2 linked regions of the Cricetulus griseus genome follow. The protein of the gene in region 2 purifies or fractionates together with the protein of the main gene of each other region. This does not show direct contact. Links are inferred from orthologs where the notes say so. Each region holds a gene or a part of one and is shown on either strand. Other genes may lie near its edges.

Region 1 (3,652 bases), on a different chromosome or scaffold from region 2:
TCTCCTGTTTCACTTGTATACAAGAGGCAACTCCCAAATGAGTTTTAGTTTTACTCTTTCTTTTATCTCCACAGTTTCCACATATCGCCCCATGCAGAAGTCTTGTCTGAAGTGAAACCATAGCACACGCCTATAACAGCAGCACTTGGGAAGCTGAGACTGGATTGGCAAAGGGCCAGGCAAGGCTACATGTTTGACCATATCAAAAAATAAAGTAAGCTGGGCATTGGTGGCGCACACCTTTAATCCCAGCACTCAGGAGGCAGAGGCAGACAGATGTCTGTAAGTTCGAAGCCAGCCTGGTCTACAGAGTAAGTTCCAGGACAGTCAGGGCTACCTAGTGAGACCTAATGGTTTTTGGGTGTTTTTTAAATGAAACAGCTCTCACATCATCATTGGCTTAGTCTTTAGAATGGCAGGAGCTCACATGTTACAGCAATCCTTCAAGACAGCATCATCCCCACCTTCCTGGTGAGGGAGCTGACAAGCAGAGACCTTCAAGAACTAGCTCTAGATCCAGCCTCACACAGTGGCTAGTCAAGACTCAGGGTTCAAACACCCAAGGAGCAACCTGACTAGATCACCCTGCTTTAATGATGAATGCAAGTGATATGACCCTATTTCTTTTTATAATGCAACAGAACTGAGTCAGTGACCAGTAGATATGGCTGTAATAGAAAGGATCTGGCAATCTGCCACACTGGCACTCACTATAACATATAACTATAACATAGCTGCTGCCACCCTGCTCTCCTTTTGTGTACAGCACATGCTACAACACGTAACCACAGCACGCTTTTCATTCTTGTCTCTGTTTTGTTTTTTGCCTTGTATATGATACGTAGGCACTCTACCACTGAGCAAACTCCCCAGCCCCAAAATATAATGTTTTCAAGCAGAATTCTTTACCTCATTTCTCGTTCTTCATGCTGAGCAATAAGGTTGCTGTAGAAATTCTCCAGTGTCACTTTGGTCATTGTCACCCTTTCTTTCGTATGATTGCTCATGGATGAGCAAGGTGTTGACCCTGTCATTGCCATGGCTCTTAGAAGGAAAGAGAGGTATTACTATCCATCTTCCGGTTGGAACCCAACAATGAGCCCTCCCCCAACCCCTGGTAGAAACATAAACTGGTAGAGCCTTTCTGGAGGACAAATGAGTTAATATCTGATACAACAGAGACCCACCTGGGAAGGGACTCTCAATGACTGTGTAAGTTAGGGTGGCCTGAGAATATGTCTGTGGGGAATTCTCTTGATGGAGCGGATGTGGCACCAACTACCCACTGTGAGTGGCACCAGACAGCTGGACACTTGGCTTAGCAGTTAAGAGAACTTGTCCTTGCAGAGGACTGGAGTTCAGTTGCCAGCACTCTGACACCCACCCTCTTCAGGTCTACAGCTGGGGTATACACACACATGCCCACTCCACATACAAACACATAACCCAGAAAGGAAGCCGAGCACTAGCAGACAGCATTCATTCACTGTTCTCGATCTGGCCTCCACTGTGGTGAGCTGCTCCAAGAGCTGTTTCCTTGACCTCCACAGTGATGGAGTATAACCCAAAACTGAGTTGGTTTTTTTTTGTTGTTGTTTGTTTTTGTTTTTTTGTTTTTCGAGACAGGGTTTCACAGGGTTTCTCTGTGGCTTTGGAGGCTGTCCTGGAACTAGCTCTTGTAGACCAGGCTGGTCTCGAACTCACAGAGGTCTGCCTGCCTCTGCCTCCCGTGTGCTGGGATTAAAGGCGTGTGCTACCAATGCCCGGCTCCCTCAAGTTGGTTTTGTCAGGGTATTTTATCACAGAAACAGGAAACAAAACTACGGCACAAGGTATGGTGTCATATAATTCTAGGTCTCAGGAGGCATGGCAAGACACCCCGTCCTAAGTTAGCTGATAAAGACCATGGAGAATAAAGGGTTTACTTGGCTTACACAGCCCAGGTCACAATCCACTGACTGAAGCCACAGCAAGAACTCAGGCAAGACCTACAGTAGAAGCCATGAATAAGTGCTGCTTCCTGGTTTGCTCTCTATGGCTTAGTTAGCTGCTTTCTTTCTTTCTTTTATATTATTATTATTATTATTATTATTATTATTATTATTTGGTTTGGTTTTTCGAGACAGGGTTTCTTTGTGTAGCTTTAGAGCCTGTCCTGGAACTCTCTGCCTGTGCCTCCCAAGTGCTGGGATTAAAGGTGTGTGCCACCACTCGGCAAAACTTTTTTCTTTTTTCTTTTTCTTTTTGGTTTTTCAAGACAGATGGTTTCTCTGTGTAACTCTGGTTGTCCTGGAATAGTCTGGCCTTGAGCTCAGAGATCTACCTGCTTCTGCCTCCTGAGTGCTGGGGATTAAAGGCGTGTGCCAGTCACTACCACCTGACAATGAATGTCTTTTTAATGACAAAAGAAAACTAGAAATACCATTAATAAATATGTAATAGAACTAACTGAAAGTATGAAAACCCCAGGCTGGATGGTGGTGGTACAAACCTTTAATCCCAGCACTCGAGAGACAGAGGCAGGCTGATTTCTGAGTTTGAGGCCAGCCGCCTGGTTTATAGAGTGAGTCCCAGGCTACAAAGAGAAATCCTGTCCCAAAAAACAACAAAAAGTTGGGCAATGGTGGCACACGCCTTTGGTCCCAGCACTCAGGAGGTAGAGGCAGGCGGATGTCTGTGAGTTCGAGACCAGCCTGGTCTACAAGAGCTAGTTCCAGGACAATCTCCAAAGCAATACAGAGAAGCCCTGTCTCAAAAACCAACCAACAAACAAAAAACAAACAGCAAAAAAGAAAGTATAAAAAATCCCAGCAAAAATAATTCAGTTACTTAAAGTAAGGGAAGTGAGACATAGTAGCATAGGCCTGCTATCCTGGGAGGTGAATGTAGGAAGCACAGGAGCGCAAAGTCATCTTCGGCTTCTATAATGAGTTTGTGGCCAGCCTGGTCTATCCAAAAAACAGAGTGTCGGTGTTATTAGTTTTCTAACTATAGGAAAATGAGAATATAATTTTAATCTAGAATGTATTTTTCTGTAATTTATCAGTAGCTTTGAGATTTTCAATTTCTACAATTAAAAGAATCTCGTGGTGGTGCACACCTTTAGTCCCAGCACTTGGAAGGCAGAGTCAGTTGGATTTCTGTGAGTTCGAGGCACAGCATGGTCTACAAAGCGAGCTATAGAACTGCTAGGGCTACACAAAGAAAACCTGTCTCAAAGGGAGAGAGAAAAAAAAAACCCTCTGGTTTATGAAACTTGGGTGTGGTTTCTTATTTGTCAGCTCGTAACCCTCCACCCACAATGAAAACCACATGCCCTCAAAGTGTATTTGGAAAGAATACTTAAAATCAGACATTAAAAAAAAACAAACCAACAGGGCAGTAAAATGGCATCAGGTAAAGTCTTGCCACCAAGCATGAAATGAAGATAGGCATTGAATGCCTGGGACCCATATGGTGGTTGGAGAGAACCAAGTCCCACAAGCTGTCCTCTGACCCCCACACACTTGCCATAAGGAAGCCACCTCAAGCCTCTATCACCCCACACTAAGAACACGCAAAATAAATAAAATTCTAAAATAAGGTAAGTGAGAGTTGTCTACAATTTTCTGGAGAGTCTACAGAGACAGTTACTCTCTCTCTCTCTCTCTCT
Region 2 (3,652 bases):
ACCAGAATTCTAAAACTCTGATGTTTTTAGATTCATCCAGTTTTTTACATTACATGACTAGGGATGACTAGGCTGTGGATATGGTTCCACCTGCAAAGTGCTTGCCCTGAAAGCAGAAGGTCCTGAGCTCAAGCCTTGAAACCCATGTAAAAGCCCAGCACAGTGACATGTGCCTGGGGAGCTGGGGCGTTGGAGACAGGAGGATCCCTGGGCTCCCTGGCTCAAAAAATAAGCTGGAGAGCAACTGAGGAAGACATCTGAGGTCAATCTCTGCCCTTCACATGGACACATACATGTGCACACGAATAAAACGTTAAAAAGGAAGGTGTTAGCCGGGCGGTGGTGGTGCACGCCTTTAATCCCAGTACTCGGGAGGCAGAGGCAGAGGCAGGTGGATCTCTATGAGTTCGAGACCAGCCTGGTCTACAAGAGCTAGTTCCAGGACAACCTCCAAAGCCACAGAGAAACCCTGTCTGGGGGGGCGGGGAGAAGGAAGGTGGTCTGTGCTTATGGTCTAAAGGAAGAATTGAGCAGGAAATTAAAAGTTGTGCATGAAGTCTCTGCTTCCCAAACCCTTTACTATAGCAGTTAGGAGCGCCTTCCTGTTCCTGCAGAGGACCTGACCTTAGTTCCCAGCGTCCACATGGCAGTTCACAACCTCATGTAACCAGCACCAGGGGATCTGATGCCCTCTTTTGGCTTCCTTGGGCACTTAAATATATGCATGTGGCATACATTTAAAAATACCTTAAAAAAAATCTGGAAAACAATACTGTTAGCTGAAAGGAAACACACATGTGAGCTGTGTTGTTTTGTTCCCAGGGAGTGGCTGTATTTGTTGTGCCATGAAATGTTGAATCCGTATTATGGACTCTTCCAGTATTCCACGGACAATATTTACACTCTGCAAATCAACCCAGATTCTTCTGTCAACCCTGTGAGTGTTCCCAATGAAGACTTTAGGAATCTAGCTGGAGTTTTTGAGGCAAATCTGGTTTCCACCAGTACTTGGTAACTTAGAGATGATGCTGATGAGAGCTCAGGGCAGGGGTGAGAGCACCGACTTGCAGAACCTGGCTCCAACCTGGATTTTAGCCAGGCTTACAACAGGTGCCTGCTGTATGTAGGAAGGGCTGTGTCTCTGAGCTGCTCTGCCCTCTGAGGGGAGGGGGGAACGACTCTGCCTTGGTTTGGTGATGGATCTTGTGGGGTTTTTTTGTTTTGATGTCACTTTAAGATCTAGGTTACTAAGTCATACTCTGATGAAAATTGGAAAAGTTCCATAATTAGCTCTTTAGGCTACAAATGTGAACACTCAGCACGTGGTAGGTATGAGAGATGCATCCGTGGATTGGTTTAAGACCATGGCGGACCTCTGTAGGACCATATCCTACAGTGTCACAAGGCCACAGAATTGGGATTAGGGACTCAGTCTACTAGAGAATTCCAATACAAATAAACCTGTGGCTGGGAAGATGGCTCATCCACACAAGCTAAAGACCCATTTAGACTGCAGAACCTACCAGGAAGCCAATTGTGGCTGGGGGTGGTGGCGCACACCTTTAATTCCAGCACTCGGGAGGCAGAGGCAGGTGGATCTCTGTGAGTTCAAGATCAGCCTGGTCTATAGAGCAAGATCTAGAACAGCCAAGGCTATGTAAAGAGACCCTGTGTCTTACAAGACCAAACAACCCCCTCCCCCAAAAGTTAGGTATGGAAGTGCATGCAGTGGGAAGGTGGATGCGATCCCTGGAACTTGCTGGCTGGCCAGCCTGATAGGTCAGATCCAAGTTCAACGAGAGATCCTGGCTCAAAATCAGTGGGCAGCACTTGAGGAATGAAGGTGACCTTGGACTTTGATATGCACACACCCACATGTACACATACAGAAATGTCCTTAAACCTGCAGCGGATCCTGCCTGGCCACAGGTGGAGGTGGAAGCTGAGGATAAGCCCTGTTACTTCCAGAGTCCCTGGAAGCCTGCGCCCATGCTGGCAGGTCATCTTCTAATAACTTGCTGTTCTCTGGTGCCCCCTACAGGACCATCTGTCTTACTTCCACTTTGTGGGTCGCATCATGGGTCTGGCTGTGTTCCATGGGCACTACATAAATGGGGGCTTCACAGTCCCATTCTACAAGCAGCTCCTGGGAAAACCCATCCAGCTGTCGGATCTGGAGTCAGTGGACCCAGAACTGCACAAGAGTTTGGTGTGGATTCTGTAAGTGTCACCATCCTGTCCTCAGCTCATGGTGTGTCTGTTGTGTGTGCACAGGCTTTGGGGGAATAGGTGTGAAACTAGGTGAAAGTAACAAAACTATAACAACAACCATTGCATTGCGTTACAAATTAACAACTGACTTATATTCTTAATAATGCTTAGCAAGTTTCTTTTCACAAGCTTTTTTTTTTTTTTTTTTTTTTTTTAGGTTTGATTACAAATGCCAGTAACCTTTTTGATGTGTGTGGGGGTGGGTGGGTGGGAGAGGGAGCAAGCACCTCCAGTTTCTCAGGTGATCTGTAGAAGGCAAGAAAAGTATCAAGACAAAATGAGTGTTTACCTTTGCTTTAGAGTTAACCAGGATGAACTGTGGCTTGGTTGTCCCTGTGGAAGACCCAGCCTAGACAGGCCAGGGAAGCTGTTGTGTGGTGTCTGGCCTGGGACCTTCTTCCTTGGCTTTGCATGCTCTGCCATGCAGGGCTTGGGGGTGGGGGTTTTCTGTGGGGAATCTGCCCTTCTGGTTGTCAAGAGGTAGGGCAGATAAAAAGTAAGTCTGACATTTCAAGTGCTTTTTTGTAGGATAGGTGCCTTTGAAAGGCTGCCCTGAGGAGAGAGGAGCCTTATTTTCATGCCTTAGTCCTTTCGACTCTGCCATCTCTTCACAGGGCCTCATGTCCCAAGGTGTCACAGGGTGAGAGTGACCCCCCCACCCCCACCCCCACCCCATGAATGAGAATCATAAAGCCAGGGACAGAACATGAGTTGTGTCTGCCAGTGTTCAGCACGGCCCCCTAGAACTCTCTGGCATGGGCCTAACCAGCTTTTGCCTATGTCCACAGAGAGAATGACATCACACCAGTGCTGGACCATACCTTCTGTGTGGAGCACAATGCTTTTGGGCGGATCCTTCAGCACGAACTGAAACCCAATGGCAGAAATGTGCCTGTCACTGAGGAAAACAAGAAGGAATATGTCCGGTAATTTTCAGGGCTGGCTTCAGTGGTGGCTGGGAGTGAGTGGAAGGTGCAGTCAGGGGCATCCATAGCAGGAGACTCCATGCGACAGCTCAGCTCCGATGTAGAAGTGGCAAGCCAGGGCCAGCAGTGGCTGCCAGTGTGTCCCCAAGGAGTCCATTCCGGCATCCCAATTCCAACCTGAGGGAGAGTTATGTGCGTTGCTAATTGTGCCACACTGTCACATGGGCCTTGATCCTCTTTGAAATCTCAGCAGTTCTGGCAAGTCTCACTAAGCCTTCTTGCCTTTATATTAGAAAACCAGAATGCCAGAACTGGTTCATTCATAGTTTGTTAGAAAGGCCAGGTGTAGCATGGTATGTATGGTACAGACCTGTAATTCCAGCACTTGGGAGGCAGACACAGGAGTAGTTCCAGGCCATTCTGGGCTACATAGTGAGTTCAGTCCCAGCCTGGGG

Evidence for each region.
Region 1: the proteins of Smurf1 (region 2) and Stk38 purify together in Homo sapiens (affinity purification with western blotting; 3 studies listed by BioGRID, with this or other methods). This does not show direct contact. The link is inferred for Cricetulus griseus from reciprocal best matches to the Homo sapiens genes SMURF1 and STK38.

What each region holds. Positions count from the first base shown.
Region 1 is NW_023276806.1:257,506,098-257,509,749, forward strand, and holds part of Stk38 (serine/threonine-protein kinase 38), read right to left. Parts: intron 1,045-3,652; exon of another isoform or gene 1,043-1,044; 5' UTR 1,041-1,042; coding exon 910-1,040; intron 1-909. UniProt on the Homo sapiens protein: Serine/threonine-protein kinase that acts as a negative regulator of MAP3K1/2 signaling. Converts MAP3K2 from its phosphorylated form to its non-phosphorylated form and inhibits autophosphorylation of MAP3K2.
Region 2 is NC_048597.1:81,292,543-81,296,194, reverse strand, and holds part of Smurf1 (E3 ubiquitin-protein ligase SMURF1), read left to right. Parts: intron 1-822; coding exon 823-937; intron 938-2,041; coding exon 2,042-2,220; intron 2,221-3,059; coding exon 3,060-3,197; intron 3,198-3,652. UniProt on the Homo sapiens protein: E3 ubiquitin-protein ligase that acts as a negative regulator of BMP signaling pathway. Mediates ubiquitination and degradation of SMAD1 and SMAD5, 2 receptor-regulated SMADs specific for the BMP pathway.